Linked DNA regions of Diceros bicornis minor. Each later gene encodes a partner of the first gene's protein in a complex. Links are inferred from orthologs where the notes say so. Each region holds a gene or a part of one and is shown in the gene's direction. Other genes may lie near its edges.

The links. The genes of interacting proteins can lie anywhere in the genome.
Region 2: the proteins of GNA13 (region 1) and S1PR2 are in contact, whole or in part, in a cryo-EM structure (PDB 7T6B), measured with the Homo sapiens proteins. The link is inferred for Diceros bicornis minor from reciprocal best matches to the Homo sapiens genes GNA13 and S1PR2. Residues at the interface, in NP_006563.2 of Homo sapiens: Arg47, Val216, Phe359, Lys363, Asp364, Ile366, Leu367, His368, Asp369, Asn370, Leu371, Gln373, Leu374, Met375, Leu376, Gln377; in NP_004221.3 of Homo sapiens: Ser66, Met68, Tyr69, Leu72, Arg130, Ala133, Ile134, Lys136, Val137, Lys138, Leu139, Tyr140, Tyr209, Ile212, Val216, Ser219, Gln227, Thr228, Leu231, Leu232, Val235, Tyr288.
Region 3: the proteins of GNA13 (region 1) and GPR35 are in contact, whole or in part, in a cryo-EM structure (PDB 8H8J), measured with the Homo sapiens proteins. The link is inferred for Diceros bicornis minor from reciprocal best matches to the Homo sapiens genes GNA13 and GPR35. Residues at the interface, in NP_006563.2 of Homo sapiens: Lys46, Arg47, Leu48, Val49, Lys214, Asn215, Val216, Phe218, Arg331, Gln337, Gln338, Lys340, Pro341, Leu342, Tyr343, Phe359, Arg360, Asp361, Lys363, Asp364, Ile366, Leu367, His368, Asn370, Leu371, Lys372, Gln373, Leu374, Met375, Leu376; in NP_005292.2 of Homo sapiens: Phe45, Gln51, Thr53, Thr55, Met59, Asp113, Arg114, Ala117, Val118, Pro121, Leu122, Arg123, Arg125, Arg128, Ala197, Leu198, Arg201, Pro202, Thr204, Asp205, Gly207, Gln208, Ala211, Ala215, Met218, Val219, Ala280, Lys281, Glu282.

The regions. Positions count from the first base shown.
Region 1 is NC_080757.1:49,823,320-49,830,448, forward strand, and holds the start of GNA13 (guanine nucleotide-binding protein subunit alpha-13), read left to right. Parts: upstream 1-4,105; 5' UTR 4,106-4,249; coding exon 4,250-4,532; intron 4,533-6,954; coding exon 6,955-7,129. UniProt on the Homo sapiens protein: Guanine nucleotide-binding proteins (G proteins) are involved as modulators or transducers in various transmembrane signaling systems.
Region 2 is NC_080769.1:8,930,592-8,937,675, forward strand, and holds the start of S1PR2 (sphingosine 1-phosphate receptor 2), read left to right. Parts: upstream 1-3,999; 5' UTR 4,000-4,195; intron 4,196-4,398; exon of another isoform or gene 4,399-5,195; intron 5,196-7,084. UniProt on the Homo sapiens protein: Receptor for the lysosphingolipid sphingosine 1-phosphate (S1P). S1P is a bioactive lysophospholipid that elicits diverse physiological effects on most types of cells and tissues.
Region 3 is NC_080776.1:27,586,536-27,594,336, forward strand, and holds the start of GPR35 (G-protein coupled receptor 35), read left to right. Parts: upstream 1-4,716; 5' UTR 4,717-5,074; coding exon 5,075-5,094; intron 5,095-7,511; exon of another isoform or gene 7,512-7,635; coding exon of another isoform or gene 7,636-7,646; intron 7,647-7,801. UniProt on the Homo sapiens protein: G-protein coupled receptor that binds to several ligands including the tryptophan metabolite kynurenic acid (KYNA), lysophosphatidic acid (LPA) or 5-hydroxyindoleacetic acid (5-HIAA) with high affinity, leading to rapid and transient activation of numerous intracellular signaling pathways.

The DNA.
Region 1 (7,129 bases):
AGACCAACCCACCAATCAACAAATAAACAAACAAAGAAAACTACTGGACTCTATGGTGACTCACAGTTAAGTACAGTTAGCTACTTGTTTCTTAAGTTTGAACTTCATACACGTGGGCATTAGGGGCCTAACCACCATTTTGGCAAATCAGAAAGAGCACTGGATTCAGAGTCAAAAGAGGGTGCTCTGTAATTGGCCAAGCTGAGTTAAACTTTTCTTCCTCTCAGCTTCCTCCTGTGTGATGGAAGCGAGGTTAATGATGGGTGTTCCTAGTCAGGCTACTGTGAGCAGAGAATGAGATAAAGTAGGTCAAAGTGCTTTGGGGCGTTTAAAACATTACACAAACGTAAGGGATTTGTATTACGGGAGGGCTAGGGAATTCCCTTTCTCTTCTAGTATGGAAAGGAAGGAAGATAGAAAAAAATCCATGCCTGTTTTATCTGTGAGAAAGGATTAGAATCCATCTATTTTATATGAAGATGAGATAGAGCAGAGTTGTGTAACAAGAATGCTGGATGTGTCATCATTCTTACTAGAAAATTAACACAAGGTTTAATAACATCAGTAATGTGACTGATTTTTAAGTAAACATATCCAAATGGGTGTTGTCCTATCCAGAGCAGTGAGCAGTCATCTTGGCAGGTGAAATACTTATTTAAATTATATTTCTCATGATTCAAAGAAAAATTTTTTTAACTCCTCTTTTGGAATTATTCCTAGAGCCTCTGGCACATTCTTTTGAATATGTCTGAGGGTGACAAATTTTTGTCTTTTGTGGCTAATACTGATTTCTGTAAACAGCCCAAAGTTATTTCGCATGAAGACAGTAAGTGACCTAAGCAACACCATTTTTTTTAATTGAAAAAAAGCTATGACTATAAGATAGGAAGCTGATCTTTCTTTCAGTTCAAACAGAAGAGTTAAAAGTAGTAGATTTCAAGAATTGGCAGTATTGTTGGGAATGGCTTGTTCCTTCCTAAGGTGACCACATCAGAGGAGAAAGGCCATTTGGAAATGTCCATTTCTACATTTTTAGTCACACATTCATTATTTATCTTGCAGGACTGTTTGCCATTAGATCTTGAGTTTCCAGAAAGAAAAGAGCATAGGAACAAATCAACCATTCAATCATTTTATCACAGCTCCTTGGGGCATCTGAAGCCCTCATTTGCACATGGATTAACTGGCTAGCAACAATACAGATGTTTCCAATGAATTAACAATGAGTCTACTGGAAATATAGCACTCAGCAGATCCAATAGACTCTCTACTCTCTTAAAAAGTTTGGATTTTTTTTTCAGTTATGAAACAACCTATCTGAAAATTAAAACATCACTAATATCATTACACTGTAACAATGCAACTGCTAGGGTAGATTTGCTTCTGGTGCAAATAATTTAAATTGTTAATGTTATTTCAAAATAAACACAATTGTACTTTCATTTATTGAATATTACACATTGTGGGTATTTCAATGTTAAATGATGTCAATGACATTGCTTTTATGGAAAATATTATTTTCCCTACCTCATTTTTTATTGTGGTAAAATTCACATAACATCAAATTCATCATTTGACCATTTTAAAGTGTACAGTTCAGGGGCATTTATGTTCTGCAACCACTACCACTATCTAGTTCCTAAACATCTTCACCACCCCAAAAAGAAACCCTGTACCCGTTAAGAAGTCACTCCCAATTCTTCTCTCCTCCTAACCCCTGGCAATTATTAATCTGTTGTTCCTATGGATTTATCTATTCTTGACATTTCATATAAACGGAACCTTACAATATGTTGCCTTTTATGTATGGCTTCTTTTGCTTAGCATAATGTTTTCAGCGTGCATCCATGTTGCAGCATGTATCAGCACTTATTTCTTCTTAGGGCTGAATAATTCCATTGTATAGATATACTACATTATGTTTATCTGTTCCTCCACTGATGCATATATGGGTTGTTCTCACCTTCTGGCTATTCTGAATAGTGCTGTCATGAACAGAGGTATATAATTTTTTGTTTGAACACCTGTTTTCAATTATTTTTGATATATACCCAGGAGTGGAATTGCTGGGTCATATGGCAATTCTATGTTTAACTTTCTGAGGAACCACCAAACCTCTAACTCATTTTTATGCTTACAATTTCAAGGTGGCCTGATTACCAGACAGTTAGAAGCATTTGTACTACTGTAGCCAAACCCCAGGCTGGGCCCAAAGAGGTCTCTTTTTCAGAAACGCTGATTAGAGCAGCTAGGCTTGATCCGAGCCAAGCTGTTCCAACACAAGGTTACGGGCAGGGCTTTGAACAGCTTTCTCTGCTGCTCTACATGTCACAGCATGAACTGGCTGGGCAGGAATATCTTCCTGCCTCCTAGGCATCCTTGGTTCTCCATTATGTTGCACACGCTTTGGGTGGAAAAAAAAAGATGTTAACTACCTAGCTTACAGGCTTCGCTCCTTCTCTTTTTGCAGAAGAGTTCAGATTAGCACCAGGAGTCCATGTAGGAATGGTGCTTCGGAGGCAATGCTACACCTCAGTTCTGAGCAGAGATTCGTCCTTTCATGATGGGAGAACAGGGCCTCCTGAACACTAGTTGAGACTAGAGAGAGATCTTCCATCCATCCGGGGTAGACTTGTACCATACATTTTGCTTGAAGGCACTGCCCAATGATTCTGACCCTATCAATCTATAGATACTGAAGTTGAACCTACCCTACTCTGTATGTTGTACATGGTCCACCCTATGGTCTTGGCCAGGACAACAGGAGATAATCTTACTACATGCATTGTTTACTGCAGCTAATTTACTGAGTCATGAGTCTCCTCAACCATTAACCCAACCCTGACAGTACACTGATGAGCACTGATTTTTTTTATTTAAACCTGTTCATGAGCCTCAGAATGCTGATCTCTTAGCTCCACTGCCTAACACATAGGTAGTTTCTGAGCTACAGGAGCTCAAATCAAGAAGTATTATGATTGCACTGCCAAAAACAGACATGGACCAAAACGGCTTTTTCCCCTTGAAACTAAATATTAAGAATGAAGAAGTTGGCTTCCGGGGCCCTTGCTAAGCAGTCTCTCTTCCAACTCAGCTGTCACTTGTCACTTGTCTCCTGGCAGCCCTTTCAGGTGTCCTGGCCTGAATCTGCTATTAGAACAGAAAAAAGTCCCTTGGCTGGTCATATCCTCTGTAATCTGGCAGGAAACCTAAAATTTGCCTGCTCCCGTCCTCGGTCTGTTTGCTTATCTGCTTCCTTGTAGGGAAGAGTCTGCATCACAGTGTCCGGTTCAGGGGGATTTTCACCATGACCTCACCCTCCTCCAGCTACCATCCACTGATTTCAGCGCGGCAGCTCGGGGATCCACATTAACAACCCCTCCTTGCCCATCTCAGATTAACATCAACTCGAGTTATTTCTCCTCAACGGAGGGTCTTTGCAGAGGTCTGAGAATGCCAAAAAGAGCTGGGGGCGGGGGGAGCTGGGGCGGAGATTGACGACGTTTGGTTATCATTCTGGGCTTGGGAGAGCAGGATGTCAAGGGAGCCACCTTAAGAAAACGCATCAGAAGTCTTCCAGGCTTGCGCCCACTGTTCGAATAACTTTCGATCCAATGGCCTCGAAGTAAGGCGCGCGAACGGTGACAGCAAGCGGCGGCGGGCACGTAACCCGGGTGTAAGAACGGCGGGAGCGGTTGGGAGGCCCAAACGGAGTGTCCGGGATCCGGTCTCCGGCCTCCAGAGCTCGGGGAAGTAGCCTTTCTGCCCCTAAGTGGGCGCAGCTCATTAAAGGTAAACAAAGTCGAGCTCCGCAGACTAAGAGCGCCCCCGACCTGGCGGGAGACCACGTGACCGCTCCTAGCGGGGGCCCCCCCCCCGCCCACCGCCCCCGCACGAGCCCGCCGGCGGCCGCGGGCACGCGAGCTAGAGCGTGGCTCGCCGGCCCAGAGCGGGAGGCGGGAGAGCGGGCGCGGCGTGCGTGCGCGCCCCCGGGAGGCAGCGAGCGCGCGCACGCCCCTGGGGCCACCGCCCCTCCCGGGCCCGCCCTCTTACCCTCCCTCCCCGCTCGCCTGGCCCGCCCTGCGCGGCCCGCCCTGCGAGTCAGTCGCTCGTTCCCTCCCTCCCCCGGCGCGCTCGGGCCGCCGCAGCGCTCCCCGCCCTCGAGCCGCGGAGCCGGAGCCGCCCGCCGCCCGAGGAGGAGGTGGAGGGAGCCGGAGGGGCCCGCCGAGGCGGCGGCGGCGGCGGCAAGATGGCGGACTTCCTGCCGTCGCGGTCCGTGCTGTCCGTGTGCTTCCCCGGCTGCGTGCTGACGAGCGGCGAGGCCGAGCAGCAGCGCAAGTCCAAGGAGATCGACAAATGCCTGTCCCGGGAGAAGACCTACGTGAAGCGACTGGTGAAGATCCTGCTACTGGGCGCGGGCGAGAGCGGCAAGTCCACCTTCCTGAAGCAGATGCGGATCATCCACGGGCAGGACTTCGACCAGCGTGCGCGCGAGGAGTTCCGCCCCACCATCTACAGCAACGTGATCAAAGGTGCCGGGCCGGGGTCGGGGGGCCGAGGGCGGGGGCCGGGGGCGGCCGGCGCGGGGCCGGGCACCGCCCTCGTTCGCTCTGTCCCTGGCGGAGGAGCGGGCCCGGCGAGCGGGCGGGAAGGGGGCGCGGCCAGGGCACCGTCCCGCCTGCCCGGGGTGCCGTCGCGCCCCAGGGAGAGGATGTCGGGGGGCCCCTCGCTTCGCCCTTCCCGTCGGAGTGGGGGTCACGGCCAGCCCCTTACCCCCCACCCCGCCGTTGGCCTCGCCCCCTCCGAGGGGGAAGTGAGGCGAGCCCGGTGCCCGGGCTCCGGGGCGACCTCTCCTGTCTTCTTCCCTCCAGACGAGGCGGGAAGACCCGAGAGCCAACCCCTGCACCCCCACCCCCTGCTCGGGCGCTGCCTGCCCAACCTCGCCGCCCCGGGTGGGTGACCCGAGTCAGATGGGGTCGGGTCTGCTCCCAACTCCCCGCTTCCTTGGCCGCCTCCTGAGCAAGGGATTTCTGGAACCGTTGCGATAAGAAAACTTTTGCCTGAGACTCTTGTCAAGGGCGAAGAGTGACAGGCCCTGGGGCATTTTTGGGCAAGGATGTGAAACTTGAGGGTGTCATGTTTACTGTGCTGGCATCAGGAAAGGGTAGACCCATACAGTTCGTCTGAAAAAATTAGCATCAGTGGTTTTTCGCCTCAGTGTCACGGTCGGGCAGGATGTTTGCCTGTAATCACTATGCAACACGTTCCACTCTCCTTTTTGCTTAATAACTGGGGGCGGGCGGAGGGGAGGGGGTACCCACCACTTGCTTCTACTATTTAAATGAAGTCGTGCTTTGATAGGAAGAATCTTTGGCCTAAAAGTGATGCGGAGCCTGTACAGGTTGAGTCAATGAATCGTCGGCTTGAATCATAGGCTCTGCTTCTGACAGTATTTTTAAAATTAAAGGTAAACTTTGTCCTTGAGTGAAAAGTTAACAAGAATTTTATGTCTGGGCTTTCAAAGAATTAGAGATGATGGTTTTTATTTTGTCATTTGAACAGTAATTAGAACTCATTTTTCTTAGTATCAGATGTTTTCTGCATAAAAGGCATTTTCGCAAAATTGAGATGCAGAGCCTGGTACTTCAGGTGCATCAGGATTCTTTTTATTTTATCTGGGTAGCAATTACTTAGGAGTTTGCTACAGATTTCGGGTGTTTTCAAGCAGTGTTTTTTTAAGTGGGATTCTTTTATTCTGGAAGTACTTAAGCAACTCCTTTGTGTGGCTTTTTTTTCTCCCAGGATTGGGTAGAGGAAAACTGCTTGGGCTGGGGGGAGTACTGGGGGGTAATGGAGGGGAGTAAAACACAGGGCCAGGAGTTCACAGACCACAGCTAGCTCTGAGCCCTAGTATCGCTGCAGTTAAGCTGTGCGAAAAGTTGTGCTTATCCTATCTTAATGTTGAGCACAAAACTAAGGTCCCTTTCAAGGCCGAAGACTCCGCCTTGCCAGTCTTTAATTGAAGGTACCTTTGTATCCTGATGCAGCTGATCTTATGGAATTATGTCAAAGAATAGAGTCAACATGTTAACTGATTATGAGCCAGGTAAACACCTGGTTCTTAATGTGCACTAGGTCCTAAGTGTGACCTACTTTGAGCATTGTTTGTGAGATGAAGTCACTAGACATCTACTTTTTTTGAGTTGGCATGATGAGAAAATTGACAGCAAAACAATTTTTCAGTTGTCCAAACAAATGACTTAATAGTCATGTGACTATTAAGATGGACCAAGGTAACAGTTTAGTGATAGAAATATTGAGTTTGAACTAATCTCTGTGAGTGGAAATCTCTCTCTCTTTTGCAGTTGATCTTCCTCCCTTTTAGGGAAATCGAAGGCCATCCTGTGACTTACACTGATTTGAAGCTTGGTATGAGAGAAGTGTTTGAGTTTTGAATGTGATCCTAGAAGACTCAGTGTTGGCTTATAAGCAGGGTGCTCAGGGAACAAACAGAACACAGCGATAATGTTTGGTTCTTGGCGTTTCATAAATAAATGTCTTTGAGAGGCTCATAAAATCTTGGTTGCAGCCGTTTTCTCCAGAGCCTGGACATCGGGCTATGCAGTATAATTTCTTTTTCCTTCACTAGTTTTAGTTCTCTTGTGACTACCTTCTACCCCAGAAGTTATTTTATAAATTAGAAATGTGAAAAGTCTTCAGAAAGAACAATTATGTTAATAGTATTTGCTTTTCAAGGCTCTAATTTTATGACTCTGAACAACTGTTAGTTTTTTTAAGCTCTGAGAAGTTATGGTGTTTGTTTTGATGTTGGTCTCCATTTTGGAGGTGGTGGGCCTGGAGCAGTTAAGAAGTTTAAGAAAATAATACTGGAATAGAATCTATGAGAATATCTAATGACTCCTATCACACTTTTTTTTTTCTTTTTAAACAAAGGTATGAGGGTGCTGGTAGATGCTCGAGAGAAGCTTCACATTCCTTGGGGAGATAACTCAAACCAGCTCAATGGAGATGTGATGATGGCATTTGACACGCGGTCCCCCATGGCGGCCCAGGGCATGGTGGAAACCCGGGTTTTTCTACAGTACCTTCCTGCTATAAGAGCCTTATG
Region 2 (7,084 bases), on another chromosome or scaffold:
CTCACCTGGATTACAGAGAAGAATGTTCCTCCTCTCACCAATGACTGATGTGGTCCTGAGTGGTACCCACCGCCCTTCTGTCCTGACCCGCCAGGGCAGGGATGCAAGTCACTGAATCTGGACTGGGGCGGGGACTTGAGATGAACAAGGAGGCAGAGAGCTTTAGTCCAAATCCCACCACTACTGTGTGCCTCAGTTTCCTCATCTCTAAAATGGGGTGACAAGGAAAAGGCAAAACTATGGAGACGGTAAAAAGATAGTGGTTGCCAGGGGTTGGGGGGAGGGAGGGAGGGATGAACAGGCAGAGCACAGAGGATTTTTAGGGCAGTGAAACTGTTCTGTGTGATACAATGATGGTGGATACGTGTCCTTCTCATTTGTCTAAACCCATAGAATGTACAACACCAAGGGTGAACACTAATGTCAACTATGAACTTGGGGTGATAATGACATGTCCATGCCAGTTCATCAGTTATAATCAATGCACCCTTCCGGGGCCATGTTGATGGTGGGGGAGCCTGGGCACATCTGGGGGCAGAGGGTATACGGGAAATCTCTGTACTTTCCACTCAGTTTTGCTGTGAACCTGAAACTGCTCTAAAAAATAAAGTCTATGAAAAAAAATGGGATGATGATAATAATAACACCCACCTCACAGGGTTGTGAGGATTCATAGGGCCGCACCCAGCACAGCCCGTGTCTGTCGCATGAGTGAGCGTTAGCCATTATTGTCAGAGGCCCTGTAATTAGTGGAGGCTGGTCCAATTCTCTTCCTTCTGTATTTCCCCTTCCTGGGACTCCCCAAGAAAAGGGCCTTGCTTCCTTCCTCTTCCACAGTTCTCACTCAGGGTCTCCCCTAGGGCAGGGCCCAGCTTTGCATTTAACCCCTCCAGACCATCAGGAAGTCTAGGCCTTCAGTGGTTTCCATTTCTCCAGCCGTCCCCTCAGCTGACCCGGCGGAGACCTCGTGTTGTGTCAGATGTAGGAGGCGGTGGGGTGGGGGGGAGGTGGAAGTTGCTTGTGAGTGCCTCTGTGTGCCTCAGGGGACATCACCTTTATCTAGGAGCCATGGTCCCTGTAACAGACAGCCGGATACGTCTGTGGCCTTGACATCACCCCCACCCCCAGGTCCCTGGGGGTATGGCAAACTGCTGAGCTAGCCGAGGGCACTTCCTCCGCAGCCTTCAAGTCCCCACAGAGGCTGAGATTTCCGCTCCGATAGCTCCGTGGGGAGGAGAGGACCCAGTTCTCTTTGCACTTTACTCCTGTGGGTTGAACACCTGGTTTCTAGAGGTCGTCCGGGCAACACATGTCACTTGGCAGAGGATTCAGTGAGGTGTTACCGAGGTCCGAGTGGACCCCAAGATCTGGCCTGGAACCAAGTGGACACTGAAATCTGGCTCAGGAAAAGAAGCGAAGTCTCTCTGACTTTTCTTATCTCCCCATAAAGCCCTGCTACCCTGTGTTAGAACTATCTGATTTCTTCTGTCTCCTCCATCGGACTGTCAGCTTGGGACGGCAGAAACCAATGAGGCATCACCAGAGATAGCACAGAGCATTGTATGTTGCATTATATGAATGTATACGCTGCCTACATATATGTAGCATTAACATATTGATTTTTAATATTCATTTCTTTATTAATCACTTACATATGTTTATTCTTAAGATCAATTTATTTAATGGTGATATGTCGATTGTTGATATGTTTATTAACATTATTGTTTATATTATTGATATTATTTATTATTGTTATTACAGGAAAAATTTTACAACTAGACGTCTGGCGATCTGTTTGTTACCTTTTATCTGATTTTTCATGTCTTTGTAAATTTTTTGAATTGGTAATACGAGCTAAAAACTTCCAGTCCCCCAGAGTATACCATGAAAAGTCTGGCCCCTTCTCACCTGTTCCCCTGCTCCCCAGCCCCCCTCCCTGAGGGTAACGGCTGTGACCAGTGGCTTGTGCCTTCTCCCCGAGATGGCCTATGAGTCCACAGGCAAATATGTGTGTATTTATACAGTCCTTATATATACACCTAGACGATGCGTGCAAGCAATGCAAACTGGTCTACTCTGTGTTTTTTTCAACTTAACATCTTGAAGAGTTTCACATCCAGACTACTCCATTTTTTACTTTTTTCTTAGTCATAAATGGATCAATTTTAATTTCCTTTTTGGTTTTGTGTTTTAACACTCTTTAAGAAGTGTAACATACATACAGAAGAGTGCACCAAAAGTCTCCTTTCTTTTTATCAGTTGCATTGTCTGGGTATCAAGCAGCCTTAAATTTTTTAAAATTTCAGCTTTATTGAGGTATCATTGACATATAAAATTGTAAGATAGTTAAAATGTACATCGTGGTGATTTGATAGACACATCGTTAAAGGATTTCCCTTTCTAGTTAAATAACTCACCCATTGTCTCACATATTTCTCTTTCGTGTATGAGAACATTTACGTTCTACTCTCTTAGCAAATTTCACTTATACATTGCAGTGTTATCAACTGAGGTCACTACTGTTTACGTTAGATCCTCAGACCTTATCCATCTTATAACCTAAAGTTGGTACCTTTCCACCAACCTCTCCCTGTTCCCCCACCCCAGCCCCTGGCAACCACTTTCCTACTCTCTGTTTCTATGAGTTTGACTTTTTTTTTTAAGATTCCACATATAAGTGAGACCATACGGTATTCATCTTTCTCTGTCTGGCTTACTTCACTTAACATAATGCCCTCAAGGTCCATCCATGTTGTTGCAAATGACAGGATTTCCTCGTGAGTGAATAATAGTCCATTGTCTGTATACACACATCTTCTTTATCCATTCATCCTTTAACGCACACTTAGGTTGTTTCCAGCTCTTGGCTATTGTGAATTACGCTGCAATGAACATGGGGGTGCAGATACCTTTTTTTTTAGCATTATGCTGTTCAACACTCTTTACTGAAGTATAATATATACATACAGAAGAGTGCACCTACCCCCTCCCTCCTTTTTATTGCATGGTCTGGGTATCACGGAATCTTAATTTTTAATTTAATTTATTGCTGGAATAGGGCACATACGCACGTCACAAAAGTCAATAGGCATGGAAGGATTCACAGAGTGAAAGCAGCCTCCCTCCCATGCCCTGTCTCCTGTCTTTCAATTCCTCGCCCAGGAAATTTACCAGTTTCTTCTTCTTGCCATATTCTGGATATTCTGCATGCATACAGTAGAATATCAGCTCCTCAGAAACACGGAGTTTTGTTCCTTAATAAATGTTTAACTTTGAGAATAGTGTCTGGCACCTACCAGGTGTTTAATGTATTTCATAAATAAACATATAAGCAGATTATGTATACATTTCCACAAATAGTACCCTCCTAAAAGGCTGAATGAGGGGAACGGGAGGAAACTGAAGGATTAAATAGAAGATTGGCCCTAGCTTGGAACGCAGGGCGCAACCTGGGCCTGCTGGTCGACCACAGCGAGGGTGGGACAGCTATCGATAAAGGGAGGGTCGGCTGTTGGGTGCTCCTGGGAGAGGGAGCAGCGGCTGAATTCTGAGGCCTTATCAAGGCAAAGCCAGTCCTGTCTTTGGGGCAGGGCGTGGCACATAGTAGGATCTTGATTATTTGTTAGATGAACACGCACATAGAAGGGGCTTAATGCCTATTTTCTGCGTTGACACATAGTCGGTTCTTAATGGCTCCTTGTTGAGTAAATAAATGGGATCCCGCGCTCTCCTCCAATTCTGGGGTCCCAGGGATGGGCCAACAGTTTATTCGCAACCGAAGACAGTTGTTTCAGGTTGAGGTCACCTGGCCAAGACAGACGTGACGTCACCAGGCTGCGTGACGTCATGCGCCGGCCGGTTCTCACGGGTGGGGGCTGGGAGGGGCAGGGCGGGAGGTGGGGGTGCGGACAAAGGGACCCCGCGCGCCTCCCCCGCCGGCCCCCGCGCGCGCGCCCCGGCTGGCCAGCCACATCTGGAATTCATTGCCGCCGCCGCCGGAAAAGGGAGGAGAAGAGGGCGGGGCGAGTTGGGGGGCCGAGGCGGTGCCTTTCCCCGCCCCCCCTCCGTCCCCGGTCCCCAGCCCCGGGACGCAGCCGAGCCCGGCGGGCAGCCCCAGCCCCAGCCGCGGCCGTCCCGGGGACGCAGACGCCCAAGCCCCTCCGACCAGGGCAGCGACCCGGGCCAGCCTAGCCAGGTGAGCGTGCGTGGCGAGGGGGAGGCAGAAAGGGCGGGCCCCGGTCTCCTGAGGTCGCAGGATCGGAGCTGGGGGGCCTGGCCAGGGGTTGGGGGCGCCCCGGGGCGCGCACGCGCCGCGCGTGCTCCTGCTGCACGGAGGGAGTGGTCACCGTGAGCCCTCTCCACGACTCCAGGCGGCCCCCACTGCCTCGGCCGCGAACCCCCAGACTGCGCTCCCTGCCTTCCCCAGCGGCAGGAAGTTGGCGCCGAGGAGAAGGCGGAATCCGAGCGCTTTCAGTCGCAGACTGGGAGGCAGGACAGCGAGCCCCGCGATCAAGGGTTTGGGGAGTGTGTATGGGGGTGTAGGGCGCCCCTCCTGGCTAACTCGGGCTGGGCGAGGGCGAAAGGTGCTGCGCGCCCTAGAGCTTCCAAGCCAAGGGGCGGGGCCCCGGGGAAGGCAGTCGCCCACTGTCTGCTCATCTGGCTCTCTGCCTCAGTTTCCCTGAGTAGTTCGTCTCCTCCAGTCCGCCCGCGGGGGCGTGGCTTTGTTCTTGAGGGACAGGGAACGTGACTGCGTGGCTCCGGCGCGTCGTCTTTATCCTGGGGATGGGGCCTGGGTGCAGACGTGCGTGCCACAGACCCCGTGTGGTCCCGGGCCCAGCAGAGCGTCGGAACCTCGCCCCCTCCTCCGGCACGAATTGACTCACCCGGGGATTTCCACCCCCTCCCCCGAGTCCGCCCTAGTCAGGTGCTCCGGGCGCCACGCGCTGTGCCCACCGTCCTCCGCGTGGCGCAACGCGGGTGCAGCATTCGTGGTGCGGCTGCTGCTGGAATCTCCCCCCACCCCAACCCCCAGTGCTCCGGGAATGCCAAGGCGGGGCCCCTGGGACGGAGAGGAGCCCCCCACCCCCACTTGGAGATGTTGGGGGTCCCGCGCGTGTGGCTGTCGCGGGAGAGAGGAGGCGCGGCCCCAGCGGCTGCGAGTGTGGATACCGCGCATTCCACGGCCAGATAAGGAGGTCGAGACTGCGGCTGGAGGGCGGGGGCGGGTCCTGCCGCCGTCTCCACGGAGACGCGCTGGGCTTCGCCCGGGGTGGGGGGGCTGCTCGCGGACCAGAGGCGTCTCCAGCCTCCCTTGCTGTTGTTTGGGTCTGGGCAGAGTTTAGGAGCCTCCACCCTCGGGGACCCACTGGGGCCTTGTTGGTCCGTTCATTCATTCATCCGTCCATCCATCCATTCCACATGCTTTCTGAGCACTTCTGTATGCCAGGCATCGTTCCAAAGGGGCTGAAAACCGACTGGGTGGCTGGCCTCCGACACTCACGTTCTACCGTGGAAGCCAGACAGAAAACAAGAAATACAATCATAATTTCCAAAATTTGCAAGTGCTGTGAAGATCATAGAGCAAGATGCTGTGATAGAAAGGGCCTGAGGAAGGCGGCTCGAGTAGACTGGCACGTCAGAGGAGGCCCCTCTGAGAAAGTGCCCTTAAAACTGAAACCTGAAAGATGAGGAGATAGTCGTTCAAGGATTGCGAGGAAGGGCATGCCAGGTGGAGGAACAGCCGCGGCAAAGGCTGTGAGCTGGCGATGGGGGTGGCAGGCAGGAGGCCAGTGTGGTGGGAGTGGAGTGACCCTGGGGGAGAGTGGGAAGAGACTAGGTGGGAAGGGGCCAGGCCCTTTGGGGCAGTGGGGAGCCATGGTAGAAGCTGGAGCTGAGCAGTGGCCTAGTGGAGCGCCCCCTGGCTGCAGCGCGGAGAATAGGGGGTGGGGCCTGAGAGCTGAAGAAAGGGGGAGAGGGGCTGCCCTAGGGCAAGAGGCTCATTGAGTGACCGGGAGGAACACTTAACCACAGGAGTTGCCTCTAAGGGGAACTTGGGGAAGGGGTGCCTGGAAGCCACTGAGGCTTCCTCCAGCCTTCCTCTCTCCTTATTTCCCCTTGAACAGTCTTGGTCTGTCTCTCTTCCCTTCCCTCCAAACCCTGTCACTTGTGGCTCTCCCTCCATTGAGGCCAGGGACCGCCTCCTGAGCTTCTGTGTGTAGCCAGCCTGGGAGGCTGACACAGCGAGGGGAAGCTGGCAAGGGCTGTATCGGCCTCGGGGTGACTCTGCCAGCCCCAACCTCCGGGCCCTTCTTCCTCTTTCTGGGAAGCAGACCTGCCGTCAGTTCGCGTGTTAGCAAAGTCGTCGGGATGCAGTGTGGGCCTCAGTTTCCCCTTCTCTAACTAGGAGAGCCGTCCTGCCTTCTGAGGATGCCTTGACAGCCTCCTGGGGCTGCAGAAAGTGAGGGTACAGCGCCCCCTGTCTCTCCCCCCTCCCCCCCAAGAAGACAGACTTGGTCAGTCCCTGGGGTGCAAGGGCTGAACTCATTTCTTATTTCGCCAGGAAACGGCTATAAATCTTTCTCTTGGCCGCCAGACAGGAGACGAGTGGTGGCCCCACATGAGGCGGGGACGGGGCGGCCACGGAACATACCCTGCGCTTCTCGCCCACCAGCAAATGTGTTTCCCAGGCCTGCGATGGGTCTTTGATTGTTAATTATGAACCCCAAGAGGGGCCCAGTAGACCAGGGCAGGCTGGGGGCGTCTGGTCGGGGTGACCCGGCGGTCAGGCCGCGGTTCAAACTCTCCCCTGGGACACCCACACAGCCTTCACTCTGTCCTCGGAAAGAAATGAGCTGCAGCCGCCTGCTGAGGTCCAGATCAGTAGTGCTGGCCGGAGAGCGCCCCCAACGGGCCAATCAAATACCGAGGACGGAGAGCTCAGGCCAATAGGCGAATCGCTCAATGCCCTGGGATTGAAAATGACCCAATCAGAGCGCGTGCTGTTTCTGGCCCGACGGCTGGTCTGGTAAGGCCGAGGCCTGGGCCAAGCCAGCTCCAGGCCGGCTGCAGCGGGCAGAGGGCATCG
Region 3 (7,801 bases), on another chromosome or scaffold:
GGGTCTGGCTGCTGCTTCCGCCACCACTCCACCAGCCGTTTTCCACGAGCTGGGCCACCCTCACCTCCACTCACAACTGAGCAGGCCACTGCATGAGGATCCAGGCCCTGGATTGCTGCCACTGGGGGAAGGGGTGCTGCCCCCATAGTCCCACTGATTCCTTGGGGTCCAGTCCACCCACCTTCAGATGTATAGCTGCCTGGATCTCTTAGGCATCCTGTTGTGCTATGTAGGGAATCCTCTGGTGGTCAATGGATGTCTGTTTGGTTGTAACTTAGAGGAGAGAGACAAAGGGAACAACTCATTCTGCTGTGATGCTGATGTCACTCTCCGATAAAGACTTTTAAAAATACGTGATCCCAGGGGCTGGCCCAGTGGTGTAGTGGGTAAGTTCGTGCACTCCACTTTGGCGGCCAAGGGTTCATGGGCCTGGATCCTGGGTGCAGACCTACACACCGCTCATCAAGCCATGCTGTGGCAGCATCCCACATACAAAATAGAGGAAGATTGACACAGTGTCCCTGTTAGCTCAGGGACAATCTTCCTCAAGCAAAAAGAAGAAGATTGGCAACAGGTGTTAGTTCAGGGCCAATCTTCCTCACCAAAAAAAGAAAAAGAAAATCATGGTCACAATTCTAGGACCACATCTAACCAAAAAAGGTAGATGACTTTAATTTCATCAAACATGCAGTCAGTCTTCACATTTTCCCCATAGTCGTATACATTTTAAAAAATAATATATTTGATTGGATAGGGATCTCAGGCTCCAGGCCCAAATCCTGTGTGTGATCTCTCCGGCTTCCCATTGGCAATCACAAGGTGTTGCTGGCAAGCCTCCTGGGAGGTGCCCTCCCTACCCCAGACTTGGGGCAGTCAGTGCACTGCAGTCGCTCAGGGGAGCTGCAACTGAGGGCTCAGCCTCCTGGCCAGTGCACTCTTCACACATCTGCATTCCTTGCCCAGATACCACCAAGAAGCCTCCTTACCGGGGTCCTTGGTTGAGGCCCTATTCTCCACCCTGACTCAGTACTTTGCACTCCCAGCCTTCTGCCTCTGTCCACCAGTCCATGCAACAGGGTCCATGCAAAGGCAGGAGCCTTATGTTTGGGACTCCTCGGCAGTGTGATGATCCCCTCCCCACCCCATCTGCACATCATTTGACTCTCACCTGGTGTCCCATGGGGCAAAGTGGAACCCTGAGAAGCCACCACCTTTCTTTAGCCTCTTGCCTGCACTATTGCACTAGATGGATAAAGGCTCAATTGTGACTTGCAGTTGGGCTCAGTGTCCTAATTGGCCACCTGGACACCAGCAGGTCAATAGCATCCAGGTAACATTCATGCCCTCCACTGACTAATGTGTCATCAAGCCTCTTAAGCAATGGCCTTCTCCTCCATCTCCTCAACCGCCTCTTGACTCTTGTTCTGGGTGCCTTGCCCTGCAGAGTGGCCCACAGACAGGAGTCTGCAGCTTGCACCCTGGAGTGTCATGACAGTGTTCCGTGTCTTCTCTAGCTCCTTTCACTGGGGGGTTAGCTCAAATGCTTCATCAGGTTCAGGTGTGATTTTTGTTTTGGGCAAGACCACCACCAATCATGAAGTGATTGAGTTTGTTTTTTTAAGTATAATTACAGCTTCATGGATTTAAACATTTTTTGTGTTCCAATTCATTGAAATTATTCTCCTTATTGTATTCAAATCATCTCATCTTTGGCCCATGGGGGTGAATGTGAGTTGAGTCTTGAGTCCCTTTGACATTGGCCAACAGTCGTGATCTGCTTTGTTCTCTAGTATGAAAAGCTATTCCAGGCTCATCTTATACATTTCCTAACCCAGAGCTGAAAGCATCCACTTCTCTCAGGAGCGCCTCTTCCTCTTTCAGAGAAATGATCTCTAGAGACCACAGTCTGGATGGTACAGGTGCTTGTTTTTAGGCCTTGTTGGTGAACAGAACTCAGAAGTTTTCTGTTTAAGATAAGACACAGTACGAGTACATACTGACACTTTCCACTCAAATTCAGATCTACATGGTTTTTAACCTTATCGACTTAACTTTATCGATAAGACATCTGCATCTGCTTTACCCCACACAGAAATCTCAATAATGCCCAACATAATTATTCATTCATTTTATGACACAATAACCTCAAAATAACAGTACCAACACTACCATCAACAGCATGATTGCTGAAAGCAATTTAAGATGTTTTTATCTAGGTGTACCAACAAAACTATGTTTTAAAATTATTTGGAAAACAATTACAGAAAATGAAACATTATTCTTTTTGTACTCAAGCTATATAGATCTACAGTCAAAATCCTGGATTTTAAAGTCACTTGGAAGAGTTTGGTAGGGTTATGCTACCAACTGATAATGCAAGTTAATTGGTTTCATCTTGCTTTCAAATTTAATAATTCCTTTTAAAATATAACTTAATTTAATTTAGTAATTACCTAAATATTTACATGGTTCTAAAGCCAAATCTATTAGTATTTTGGTGGTGAACATGATGTAGTCCATGCAGAAATAGAAGTACAATGATGTACACCTGAAATTTTTACAATGTTATAAACCAATGTTACTGCAATAAACAAAAAATTAAAAAAAAAATCATAATAATAATAATAAAGCCAAATCTATAAGCCAAGGTGTATTCAGAGAAGTCTAGTTTCTATCCCCTATCTTCCTTTACCTCATCTTCACCTGTTCCCTATAGGTAACAATTTAATTTAAAACAAGTTTTATGGCTTATCCTTCCATTTGTAAAAATATAAGCTGCTGGCCCTATATAAATAAATAAGCATGAACAGCCTTTTTTCACTTAGAGATAACCATGTAGTAGTGTATAGAGATATTTCTCCTTCCTTTTTACAACTGCTCGGTGCTCCATGGTGTGGATGGAACATACTTCATGCAACCAAAGCCCCATGGACAGACGCTTGAGTAGTTTCCAGGCTGGTGCTACTCAACCGTGCTCTAAGGAAGAGCCTGTCAGGCATCTCTGTCTTAGTTCTACCATCTGTCCGTAGAATAGATCCCTAGGGGTGGGATTACTGGGTCAAAGGCCACTGCAGCTCTAATATTGCTGGATATTGCCAAATCTCCTCCATGGGGGTTTGTACCATGCTAAATATCAACGACATCCAAGGATGTCATCCCCCCATAGATTATTGTCAAACTCTCAGATTTTGCCATCTGACAGGGGAGAAACAGTATTGCAGTGGACTTTTAATTTATAGTTCTCTTATTAGGAGTCCATTGAGGGTGTGTTGTGTGCCAGTTTCAGCCTATCCATAACCAGTGTTGTGGCTGGACCAGCCCTTGAGGTTCTATGATTGCAAGATGCCCTTCAGCAATAACCATCAGGAAACTTTGAAAAAATAAAGGCTTATTATGTACAGGTCCTGGAAATTACACAGCACACCTGGGGCCACACAGCAAGGTCGTGGGTAGAGAGAGAGCATGGGCCTGGGGTTCTGCTCCTAAATTGGGGTCAAGGGTGGGGGTCTAGGGTTTCCAGGGCTCACTCTTTAATGCTGAATTTAAAACGTGAAAGCAAGAATTTAAAGTGCAGGGAGAGAAAAAAAACCCAGTGGCCCCAGTGGGCAGTTATGGAAATCAACCTAGATCTCTAAAACAAAGAGGGAGTGCTGGCTCTTTCTCCTGCAGCTGGCAAAGTGTGTATTCAAGATGGCCATCTGTGAATGCCTCGGCATTCACAGGCATCTTTGATGCCTCGGCAATCAAAATTTAAGTCAGGCACTTGCATTACAAAAAGAAAAGCCAACTGTCAGGATAACCAGACAGCATCTTTTCATATCTTTAATGATCTGTTTACATTTCCTTTTCTGTGAACTGTCTGTCCCCATCTCTATCAATGGGTGTCTTGCCCATCCTCCAGAGGAAGTGTCTCGGAAGGTCAGTGGTCCAAGGAGTGTCAAGGGGATAATACAGAACCCCCTGCAGAGTGTTTCTCAAGGGCAGCTGAGCACCTCCTACCTCCGTGTGTCTTGGGGCACATGCAGGTTAAGGCCCACCACTTCTGGGATCTACCCTGGACCGACTGGCCCAATCAGCCAAGGCTGGAGGCCCGCTGCCCTGGGGGCGGGGAGGGGGAGGCAGATTCGCCTTCCTGCTCCACATCGGGCTGCTGGACACTGGCGGTTGACTCTGAAGCAGGGGCGAGATGTGCTCTGCCCCTCAGCCTCCTTGGCCGGGGTCACCGCCGGAGAGCAGGGCCGCGGGAGACCCCGCAAGCGCTTGAGTGGGAGCCCACCTGGGAGACGGGCGGGGCTGCAGTGGGCGGGGAGGCCAAGACCCAGGGCGGTGGGGAGGGCGTGCGGCTGGCGGAGGGAGGGCCGCGGGGGTGCGGCACCCCAGGAGCGGCCTGCAATCAGAGCCTGAGGCCGAGAAAGCGGAAGGAGGCCTGCAGGGCAGAGGAGCACTCAGCAGGCGGCCGAGGGGGCGGAGGCGGCGGGAGGCAGGAACCTGCGGCTCCAGTCTCGAGGCGGCCACCTCACTGCCACTGCCGCGTTCCGGAGCCGCTGCGTGCGGCAAGAAGAAGGCGGTGGAGCTGTTGGGTGAGTGACCGCCCAAGGGGTGGCTGTCGAAGGGGACAGAGTGGGTAGGAGGGGGAGCGGAGGGACGCTGTCCGGGGGGCTGCCCTCGCAGCTCTGGTGTGGGTTTGGGACTCTGGGGGGTGGATGGGGCCAGGACCAGGGCAGGCAGCCCCAAGTACACCCTCAGCCCCTCTGCCCCCGTGCTGTCCCCTGCTGCTATGTGACGGAGATGTGACCACAGGCGGGAGCCGCCCAACTGAGAGCCAGCAATGCCTCGGGACCCCCTCAGACCCTCTCAGGACCTCTTACACCCCCTACATAACCTTTTCATGACCCCTCATGACCAGTGGAACCAAGCCTCCCTGTCCCCCATCCCTAGGCACAGCCAGGCCCTGAGGGCGTGCTGCTGGGGGCCTCCTTCAACCCCTGACCCTCCTGCTCCCTGTTCTTATTCTCAGCAGCACCCCTCCATGCTCAGTCATGTTTGCTGAATGCATACATGAATGAATGAATGAATGGATGGATGGATGGATGGGTAAGTGAGCAGCATGGGGCCTCAGAGGCACATAGCGGCTTTCCTGTAGGGGGATAGGCAGGAAGAAGCCCCGCAGTGGGGTAGCAGCTGCAAGGGCAAGGACTGGAAGAATTCCTAGGTGAGGGCCCTGGTGGCCCCAGGGGACTCGAATGGCAGGGGATTTGGAGCAGTGCCAGGTGGGTGGTGGGCAGGAGGTGGGTCTCCTGCAGCCTGGGTCGGGGCATTTCTCACAGGAGGTTCGGTCCCTGTGTGTCCCTTGGAGATGACAGAGACACTGGCTGCTCCCCCGCCCAGTCCCCCTCCCCCACCCCACAGGGAGGAGGACATGGTCTGCCCTGCACCCCAAACCACTTCACGTGGTGCAGTCCCCTCTCTGCCATGGCCTATGGTGTGGCACCCCAGGAGCCTACTTAGTCCGCGGAGAGGAGTCACAGGCCATGAGAGAGATGCCCAGGGCACGGGCAGGGCAGCTGGGGCAGGGGCCAGCGTGGAGCAAGTTGCCGGTTGGAGGGACCTCAAGCCAATGATCTGGACTTGCAGCGCCGGCCCCTCTCCCCCTACATGTCCCCTTGTTGACCGGCCACCTCGTCTGCCCGTATAACTGATGGGCTTCACCCTTCTCAGAACTTTCCACAGCCACACACTTATTTCTCTATGTTTATAAAGTTTTTATTGTGGAAAGTTTCAAGTGCACACCGAAGTAGGGGCTCTAGTACAGAGATAGATGCCCATGTCTCGGCCCGGCCCACTGGGGTCAGTCCCCACCCCCACCCCATCCCAGGGAATCCCAGATACGCTGTCAGCTCAGCCAACGTCACCTGAGTGTGTATTTCTAGCAGATAAGGGCTTTGTCAAGTCACCCCACAGCGCCGTCATCGTGCCCGAGGAAAAATGCTAGTTCTTTACATTGTTCCCTTGCTGGTCAATCTCCTGATGTTGGCTCACAGAGAAAACCTCTCCCAGGTAGCTCGTCCCAATCCGGGTCCAAACGAGGCCCACGCATCTGGATGTGCCAGTCTCGCCCTGGCTCTGGCCTTGGTGGAGCTCCTGCCGTCCCGTCCGCACTCGGCAAGGCAGGCACAGCGGGCTGCTTCTGCTCTGGCTCTGAGGCTCGGCCTGGGCTCCGTTAACTGCCCTCAGCAGGGGACAGACCTGCGAGGGGACAAAGGGAATGAGGCTGAGAAGAACCAGTGAGGGCCTCAGACCCAGCCAGGAGAGGACTCCCTGGAGGAGAGGAGAGGGCTGGGGACAGTGCTGCCGGGCAGGGGTCACCATCCCGCCCTCCCTCATGGAGCTGAGGCAGGTCTGAATGCTAAGAGAAGACCCCAGGATCATGGGGAGATGGGACAGGAGAAGCCCCACTAGTGGGGGACAGTGCCTGCGGGTGACCTGGGGATGGGGTGGCAGGGGATCAGGCTAGGGGTGGAGTTTGAGAATGTTTCCATCTGATGGAGCCTCGTTTTCCTGCTAGGTGGGTGGCACAGTGGCCAGCCTGAGAGCAAGCCTGAGCTGGTATGGCTGGAGGAGGATAGAAGGGACTGTGAGAGCAGGAGGGGGGGCCAGGAGCCAGCTGAGGGCAGAGTGGGCCCACCCTGTGCCTCCATCCCCCCTTCCCCCTAATGATGTCCCCATTCCCCTTCCCAGCTGTGTGCCATCCACCTCTCCCCATCCCCCTCCCAGTGGCTTCCCCCTCATCGTCATCCGCCCAAAGTGGGAGGGGGCGGGGTGTTTCCCATACCTGATTTCAGCAAAGAGGGGAACAGAAAGTGCTGGCAGCAACAGAAGGTCACATCCTCTCTGCTCAGCTGCGTGGGGATGCGAGGCCCACGGCTAAGCCCAGGGCCCAGAGACCTCTCCAATTCCAGGGATGTGCTGGGTCCCGGCCCCAACTGGGCACCTGGATGGGGCAGGGGCCAGAGTGAGGCAAGTGAGGCACTGGCCTTGGGCACGGCATCCAAGGGGCTGCCAAGAACTCAGTCGTCCAGATCAACCGTACTCCAACACAGTATTTAAGTACATCGAAGCTAATACAACAGTCCACATGGACAAAGAATCAGCATTTTAGATACAGGCAGGGTGGTCAGACTGCCATTCCTTTGCCTCAGGCTCCAGTATGGCCCGGGGGGGGGCCAGTTTGTGAAAGACCTGCCTCCAGTCAGGCTCTGAAGGCCGCCACAGTGGCCAGGCTCACAGGGCTCCACAGGGCTCCCCTCGGCCAACACAAATGGCCACATCTCCGTGCAGACAGCCAAGCCGCCCTCCCCCCACCCCCGGCCAGCTGTTGTGGGCAGAGCCGGGGGCGAGATTGTGAAAGAGGAGTCATCAGCACGGCCTCCTCCAAACAAGGGCCTGGTTCCCGGTTCCCAGGCCTCAGGCTTCCCTTCTGCGGGCCTTGCTCATGCCCTTCCCTCATCCAGGCAGCCACTCTCATCTCTGCCTCCTCCCACCTTCGAGGCCCAACTGAAGTGCCACCTCCTCCAAGAAGCCCACTGGTCTGTGAACCCCCACGTGTTCCCATCAGGCACTGGTGCCCTGTGGCACATGTATCCCATGTGAGTGCTGCTCCCTCTGTGCGAGGGACCCCCTGGGCTATGCACCCTCCTGCCACGTCCAGCACGGCGCCCACACATGGAGTGGTGAGGATGGGCAGGAAGAGGGAGCAGACTGGAGTGTAGAGTGAGGTCGGAGTGGACGCAGATTTTAGCCT